2 linked regions of the Tribolium castaneum genome follow. The protein of the gene in region 2 purifies or fractionates together with the protein of the main gene of each other region. This does not show direct contact. Links are inferred from orthologs where the notes say so. Each region holds a gene or a part of one and is shown on either strand. Other genes may lie near its edges.

Region 1 (3,256 bases), on a different chromosome or scaffold from region 2:
AAAGGCACACAAACGCAAAAGCGAGGAGTCGAGTAGTGAGGAAGAAACGGCGCGAAAGCGCCCCAAGAAGGAGGAAGAGCGCCAGAAAAGCAGCAAACGTGACGAAGAACGAAGACACAAGGCGGCGAAGAAAGCCAAAGCTGCGGCCCCCGATTTTGAAGAGAAGAAAGACAGTGGTAGACATAAATCAAAGAAGGACGACAGGAAGAGCAAGGATAAGAAGATTAAGGATGAGAAGAGGGAGAAAAGTGATGAGAAGAAGACCAAAAGTTCGAAGAAGTTGAATGGGAATTTGGTTAATGGGATTGATTCGGGATCGGGGGCTAGTTTTGCGGAGGCTTTGGGCATGTGTGAGCCTTCGTCGAGTAAGAATAGTGCGAAGAAGAAAGTGGAGAAGGTGGAGAAAGTGGAGAAGAAGAAGGAAAAGTCAACGGACCAGACGGTAATTTTTATTAAGTTTTTGAAAAAAATGACAAAAACAACACACTTTTTAGAAACGTAAGGAATGTGTACCTATCTAGTTTATGACTAAAAGTTTCGTTATCAGTATCAGAATGAAACAGACGTAATTTTCGTAATCTGATACTTGTTTGAGAATATTTTACTATTTTAATTCGGTGACAAACACTTATAACTGAAACTGAACAGTTTTAAAATTCCTCTTTGTTTTTCCTGGATTAATTATTATTGACAATTTTTAGTAGAATATCTTGCAATATCAAGGTCTGACTACGAAAGACTATAAGTTAGGAGACGAAACGAGATACAAAATCGCTCCCAAAGATGTAGTACGGCGGTGTAAAAATGAGGGCGCCTCGAGCGTCATCCCGTCTCGGTGTCAAATCGTTTTAAATTAATTTAAATTCAACCAGTTTACTAATTACTGGGGAAAAATGCAGAAATGTTGAGCTTTGCATTCTCAACAGACTGGGAAAAAGTGAGGACTGAAATTTATTGAGAAACATGAGAAAAAAATTATTTAAGATTTAAAATTTGCGCTCCGGTCCGTATTTTTCAAAACGCTGCGAATACGGTTAAAGATACAAGAAAAATGTTCAGAAGAAAGTTGTAGAGAATTTAATTTCCTTTAAAAAAGTCAGCGAGACCATATTTTTATCTTCAACGGTTTAGGCCCTAAAAACGTTCAAAGATGCTCAAGCGACTGATTTGCGTCATTTTGCCGGTGGTCAAGTATTGGAAAGTGAATTTATAGCCAAACCGTTGAAGATAGAAATATGGTGTCGCGGACTTTTTTGTAGCAAATTTAATTCTCTACAACGTCGTTCCTTTCAATTTTTTGTAACTTTAACCGTATTCGCAGCGTTTTGATAAATAGGCGACGGTGCCCAAAAATTATCGCTTAGAATTATTGCGTTCTTTTTGCAAACGCAGCGAATACGGTTGAAGATACAAAAAAAGTGTAAGGAACAAAGTTGTAGAGAATTAAATTTCCTACAAAAAAGTCCGCGACACGATATGTCTATCTTCAACGGTTTGGGTATAAATTTATTTTCCAATACTTGACCACCGGCAAAATGATGGAAATCCATCGCTTGAGCGTCTTTGAATGACTTTGGGGCCTAAATGGTTGAAGATAGGGATATGGTCTCGCGGACTTTTTTAAAGGAAATTTAATTCTCTACAACTTTCCTCTGAACATTTTTCTTGTATCTGTAACCGTATTCGCAGCGTTTTGAAAAATATGGGGCAGAGTGCAAATTGGTAAAACTTTGAAATTTTTTTAAATATAGTTTAAGATATAATTTTTGCACTATTTTTATCTCCAATTATTGAAAATTTGGTGCTTTATCTGTCTGTATTTTTTTATTCGCTTTGGGCTAACCGTTATTTAATTAAACTATTTTTATAAATTTATTGCTTAAATACTTAATTTTTTTCTGTGCCTACATGAATTTTTTCAGAATTTTCCTACACTCTTTTATTATTTAAAATTAATTACGTATTTTTTATTTTTTATGTTCTGTTTATACCAAATATTTTGATATTGCAGATCCAGGAATCCATCCGAATTATTTTTGGGTTCTAAAAACTGGGAGGAAGTCTCAATTTATTATTATTATTTATTTATTTTTTGTTATGGGTCAAAAAGAACAGAAGAGTTGTTTTTCATTTTGATTTTGTACGAGTTTTTTTTGCAATATACACATAAAACTAAATGATCGTAGTGATGTTTAGATGAACCTCTTCTTCACAGGTCCCCAAACTCCTTAAAGAACCGACCCTGGACCCCATAGATCTCAACATTTCAAGCCTACTGCCTCCAATCACCCCCAACTACCGCCCCCTCGGCAACTTGCTCCCTTCGGACAGCCACCACAAAAAATTCATGTCCGAATCGGAGGCGCTCACAAGCATTATCACCTCGAAAAACCAAAGGACGAAAGTCTATTCTGGCAATAAAATGGGCTGCGGGAAAGTGGCCTCGCTGTTCGATCTGTGTATTCGAGTCCTTCAGGATAATATCGATGCTCTGGAGTACACTGGGGGAGTTCCTTACAACGTCCTTAAGCCGATTTTGGAAAAAGCCAACCCGAATCAACTTTATTTAATGGAACACCATAACCCGTATCTTATCGAAGACACAGACGAGTTGTGGCAGTTGCATTGTCAGAAGGACTTTAGAAATAAAAAGAGAGAGGAGTTGGAGACGTGGCGCGAAATGTACCTGAGATGTTTGGATGAGAGAGACGCCAAACTTAAAGCATTGACAGCGAATATAAAACAAGCGCAAGATAAGTCGCTTCCGGTCAGGATGACCAAGCTGGCATATGTGGATGCGGTGGCCAAACCCCCTAGAAATATAGGTTGGTGTGACTGCTGTTACCTTGGCTATTTTTAATCCTTGCCAGTAGTTTTTTAGTTATGAATTTTTTAAAATGTGGCCAATTTTTGCTTTTATTTGCAATTTTCTCGAAAACTATTAGTCGGAGAACTGTGATTTTTTTTGAAAAAATAGATGATTTAAAGAGCTTTCTAACGATAATACACTTCATGGGGTTTTCTCTGATAGTTCCGGAGCTATTGCTCGAGAAATGTTCCGGGTACCCAAAATCGACAAAATTTGCGACGAAAATTGAAAAAATCAAACATCAAAAAATCGATCAAATGGACTTTTTGTGGACTTTTAACTACTCTAGAGGGATCTCAATTTCAAAAAAATACGAGTTTTAAAAAAAAAATTTTCACTTTCTTGAAGGTATGTGAAATTTTAGGAAAAAATTCAAAATTTTAAACC
Region 2 (4,578 bases):
TTTGCTAGTAAAATTACGTTTATTTAAATTTTTAATTTTTCTTAGTTGAGTATTTTTTAAGACGGGCGACATTTTTTACAGATTTTTATCACAAAATAACATTTAAACAATACTTGTTCTCAGATGACGCAAGAAATAACCATTTTTTACAACTACTTAATACTGGTAATTAATTTATTCATTTTAATTATAATAAATTGTAGAAAAATGCACAGGCATTAGGAAAAACACAAAGTATTTTATAGTAAACGCTAAATTCTGAGTGATTATTAGTTTTTGAAATATTATAGTTAAAATCAAGTTAAAATAAAAAAAGAATGTATAGTATTTATTTACTCTTCGACACTTCGACATTGTCAAAATTTATGGTTTTTCTCTGTAAGAAAATTTTGACAACTGTTTGGCATTTCTCAATACGAAATGTCAGATTATTTTTAACAGATTTTAAGCAATTGTAAGTCTTGTTGAGTCTAATTCGAAGAATAAAATGTTGTATTCAACTCATTTTCGTGTAAATCGGTTGATTTATTTCACCTCGTAGAAGATAAACCACCCGTTTTCACTCGTAAATTAAAGCGTCCGATTTACACTCAAACTCGTTAAATAAATAAATATTAGTTTTACACCAAAAAATCGTAATTCGAAAACTTGCCCCTAGCTCAGAATGGTTTACTACGGTAACACGTGCTAATACTCAGCGCGAATAACATACATACTGCTAAAATTAACATTTAGTTAAACATCGTTTTTATTTAATTTTTTAGACATTTAAAATTTTACGGTCTTAAAAAAATAGGAAGCAAAAAACAAATATATAAGGTGTTCCGTTTATTTTTTTAAGTTATTTAACCATTAATGTGTCGTGATTGTAAACCCCAGCGTGTTAGGAAATGGTTTAGCAAAAATTTAAAGGTAGATAGAAAATGGCAAAACAAATCGATTAATCAAAATAAATCTAAATCAAAAATGCATAGTTTTCCCAAAAAAAAAACGTTCTGAAATTAAAGTCCCAAACTTTGAGAACCGCTGAACCAGATATATAAAACTTAAATAAATTTTGATATTATTGTCAAAACAGCAGAGGTAAATTAACTTCTTGGTCCACTACGTTATTCTTCAATTTCAATTTGTGTTTTGTTATTAAATTTTACAAAAAAAAAACAAACATTTTTTGTCAGGACCAGGATTCAAACCCCCACACAAATAAACATGTTAAAGCCATAATTTTGAAAAATTCTTAAAACGGCCACGCGCCATCACCTCCATTTTGCTTAATGTAAAAATTAACTACTAAACCATACAGTGGTCCTCAATAAGTAGATTAAGAAAAATTTCTGAAAAATGTACGCACTTTTTGAAAAAATAATATAAAGGTTCTTAACTCGTCTTATCATGACAAATTCGCATAGGAAATATTACTAAGCTATTCCCTAACACCCTGTATAGCTGAGGATACATGTTCATGCCAAAACGTTCTGTACATATATTAATGTAAATTCAGTTTTTTTTTTTTAATAAGTACGAATCTGGGTCTTAAGTTTTCTCTTTAGTGGAAATTTTGTTTCTTTTTTAACCTTAGTTTTGTGTATAATACATTTTCAAAATATTAATCAATAAAAGTTTAGGTCTAAATCAACAGTATTAAAAGCTACCTCCAAAAATGCAATAATAGTTATTTATTTAACGAGTTTGGCTGTAAATCGGACGCTTTATTTCATGAGTGGAATATTAAACGCAACAGCGCACTTACATTTTTTGGAGTCAAATAGGTTACAAATTAAATCTGTTTCCTTGTGATTCTATGTTAAAATTTAGTGACAACAGAACTCCCTAATTAAAAGAGAAAATCAACTGCGAAAAGTAACAGTTATTTTTAAAGTTTTGAAACAGATATTAAGATGTTTCATTTAAAAAAATAAGTGTGTATTGTAACTGATTTCTGAAACGTTTTGTAAAATAGAAAAGATACGTTTCTGTACTATTCTGGGTAAAATTCTATTCCACGTTTTTTGACTTAAAATCAGTTCTTTTAAAATTCTTGAAACCCAAAACCTGGACTTTAATAATTGTGCAAGATTTTACCTAGTCGTACTGCAGCAGGACAGTTTGGATTGGTCCTCAAAGCTTTCTTGTAAAAAGCCAAAGCCCCTCGGAAATCCTTTTTATTGTACGCAATGCAAGCTTTCCCCAACAATGACGGTATATTATTAGGTGACTGATTCAAAACGAAATTAAACTGCGCATCCGCTTGTTCCATCTTATCGCCTTCAAGGAGGCAAAAATAGGCCCTTCCCAAAAGATGGTTCTACAATTATTTGTACTCACAAGTGTGAATTAGCTACAATTTGTGACTTACTTGGTCGTACATAATAATTTTATCAGCTGTGGTGTACAGAAGAGTTGCTTTAGTAAACAACTCTCGTTTTTTGTCCTTATTTTTCTCCCTGTTGGCTTCTTGTACATAATATGCGGCAAGCATATCAAGGGCTCGCATTTGATCCTTTTCATAGTCTCGGTAATCGACATTGGCATCAGTTCGTGAAGCTTCAAGTATTTTAATAAAATCTTCAATTTTACCTTGTTTGTAATACTCCAGCTGTTGGAGAAACACAATCATTAATATTAATATTATGCACACAACATTGAAAAACATACCGCAAGATTAACCCATATAAACAACTGGGTATTTTCTTGTCGTAAAATACCCAAAACTTCGTCTCCATCAGGCAACTGATCAGAGTCAAGCTCTATAACCTATAAAAACCAACACTTTATTTTTGGAATAAAATATTGAAAAACGAACCTCATCCGTGTCACGGAGAGGAATTTCGATTGTTGTAGTCATTTTGAAGAGTTTGTTAACACTTCACGTCACATATATTTCATGAAAAGGGCATTTTTCACTAAAAATCGGAAATTGAAAATTGGATGATGCACAAGCCACAAACTGTTAAAATAAACTAACTGGTAGGCAACCAACATTGCACGTAACTGTAGGAGAAAACTGCAAAATTGTAGTTTGTGGCGGTCTCTCGTGGGAGTGTTATAAACAAATAAAATTTAAAATCAATCAATTTCAAAACCCCAGAAAAAGTAGGAATTAAAATAATAGCAAAAGCTTTACTTTTTTTAAACAAATACAAAAATAAATTATTTTATTGCATATTTTTATATAATTTTTTAATAATTTAAAAAATACAAGAAAAACATATTTAAACTAGATATTTATTTACGAGTGAAGTTTATGTTTAACGAGCTGTTTGTTAAGCGAAAGCTTTATTCTGCGAATGTAAAACATTTTCTTTTTCTATAGTAGATGTTAAACTACGGACTGTTTATAAAAGAGAGTAGGATCTCAGGTGGTTTTGGAACTTGAATTTGTACTAATTTTTATTTACCCCGGCAGATCAATTTTTTATATACTAACACAATTCGTTTTTTTTTTGGAAAGAAGCAGTAAACTTTTTTAATACTCATACCTACAACGATCATACATTTATAGACAGATTGTATCTGTTTATCTTTCGAGTAGATAAAATAGCACTTTAACCACATTCTAACTAAAGTTTGCAACAGCTTTTCTCTCTTAAACTTAAAGTTTTCACTGCTATAGAAAAGATAATACTATAATATTTTTTTATACAAGCTAATTAAAAAAACATTTGTAATTTTTATTTTTATTTTTTTATGCAAAAACCAAATGAACTAGTTTAAGTTTCAAGTAATCCTTTAGGCATTTTTTTTTAAACTTAAATCTATCTCATCTTTTCCATAATAATTTTAGTTTTTCTGAGCTGCATATTTGATATTTGAATTTAAAAAATTTTTTTCCTAATTACAACGATAATATGATCGAATCTTACATGTAGATAAGAAAAAAGCGTTTGAAAGTGCTTTGAAAGAAAACACCAAAAATTGTGTATAACAAACTAAATTTTAACAGTTCTTTTAAATATGCGAGCAAAATTTTAATAACTTTGTCTTATTTTGTAAAGAATAAACTTTTAGCTTATCATGTTATTTAGTTTTTAAATAAGTAGACTTTGCCGAACTGTAATAACCTTCCAAACCTCGAAAATTTAGTTTGTTTAAAAACGAAATAATTGGGGTTTTTTTCAAGGCACTCTTCGCAAAAGTGTTTTTTTTCCATTTTGATCAACGTGTAAAATTTGATTATATCATGTGATACACCGTTGTAATAAAAAATAAAAACACTTTTCAAAAATACAAAAAGCCAATATGGCTTTCACAAGAAAAAAAAAGTTAAGTATTGTAACTCTGACATAAAGAACGCCTTGGAAAATACGATGACAAATTTAGCTTCCTTGTAAAAAGATGCCTCAAGAACATCTTAGTTAAAAACATTTAGCTCTTTTGATTTGCGCTTAAAAAATAAAAACAACAATTACGATTAGCTGTTTCAAAATTACAAAAACGCCAACGTCGCTTTTTTCTCAAAATTAGCTGTTATAAATTATTCATGCACTTCAAAAAATAACAGCTAATGTAATTTATACTTTCAATAACTATTTTACAAATTTATCATTATTTTCTTTAAAAAAATTTGTAAAATGCGAC

Evidence for each region.
Region 1: the proteins of Ctr9 (region 2) and EloA purify together in Homo sapiens (affinity purification with mass spectrometry; 4 studies listed by BioGRID and IntAct, with this or other methods). This does not show direct contact. The link is inferred for Tribolium castaneum from reciprocal best matches to the Homo sapiens genes CTR9 and ELOA.

The regions. Positions count from the first base shown.
Region 1 is NC_087400.1:1,640,535-1,643,790, forward strand, and holds part of EloA (transcription elongation factor B polypeptide 3), read left to right. Parts: coding exon 1-442; intron 443-2,215; coding exon 2,216-2,825; intron 2,826-3,256. UniProt on the Homo sapiens protein: SIII, also known as elongin, is a general transcription elongation factor that increases the RNA polymerase II transcription elongation past template-encoded arresting sites.
Region 2 is NC_087397.1:22,580,063-22,584,640, reverse strand, and holds the start of Ctr9 (RNA polymerase-associated protein CTR9 homolog), read right to left. Parts: upstream 2,961-4,578; 5' UTR 2,846-2,960; coding exon 2,804-2,845; intron 2,755-2,803; coding exon 2,656-2,754; intron 2,597-2,655; coding exon 2,357-2,596; intron 2,306-2,356; coding exon 2,083-2,305; intron 1-2,082. UniProt on the Homo sapiens protein: Component of the PAF1 complex (PAF1C) which has multiple functions during transcription by RNA polymerase II and is implicated in regulation of development and maintenance of embryonic stem cell pluripotency.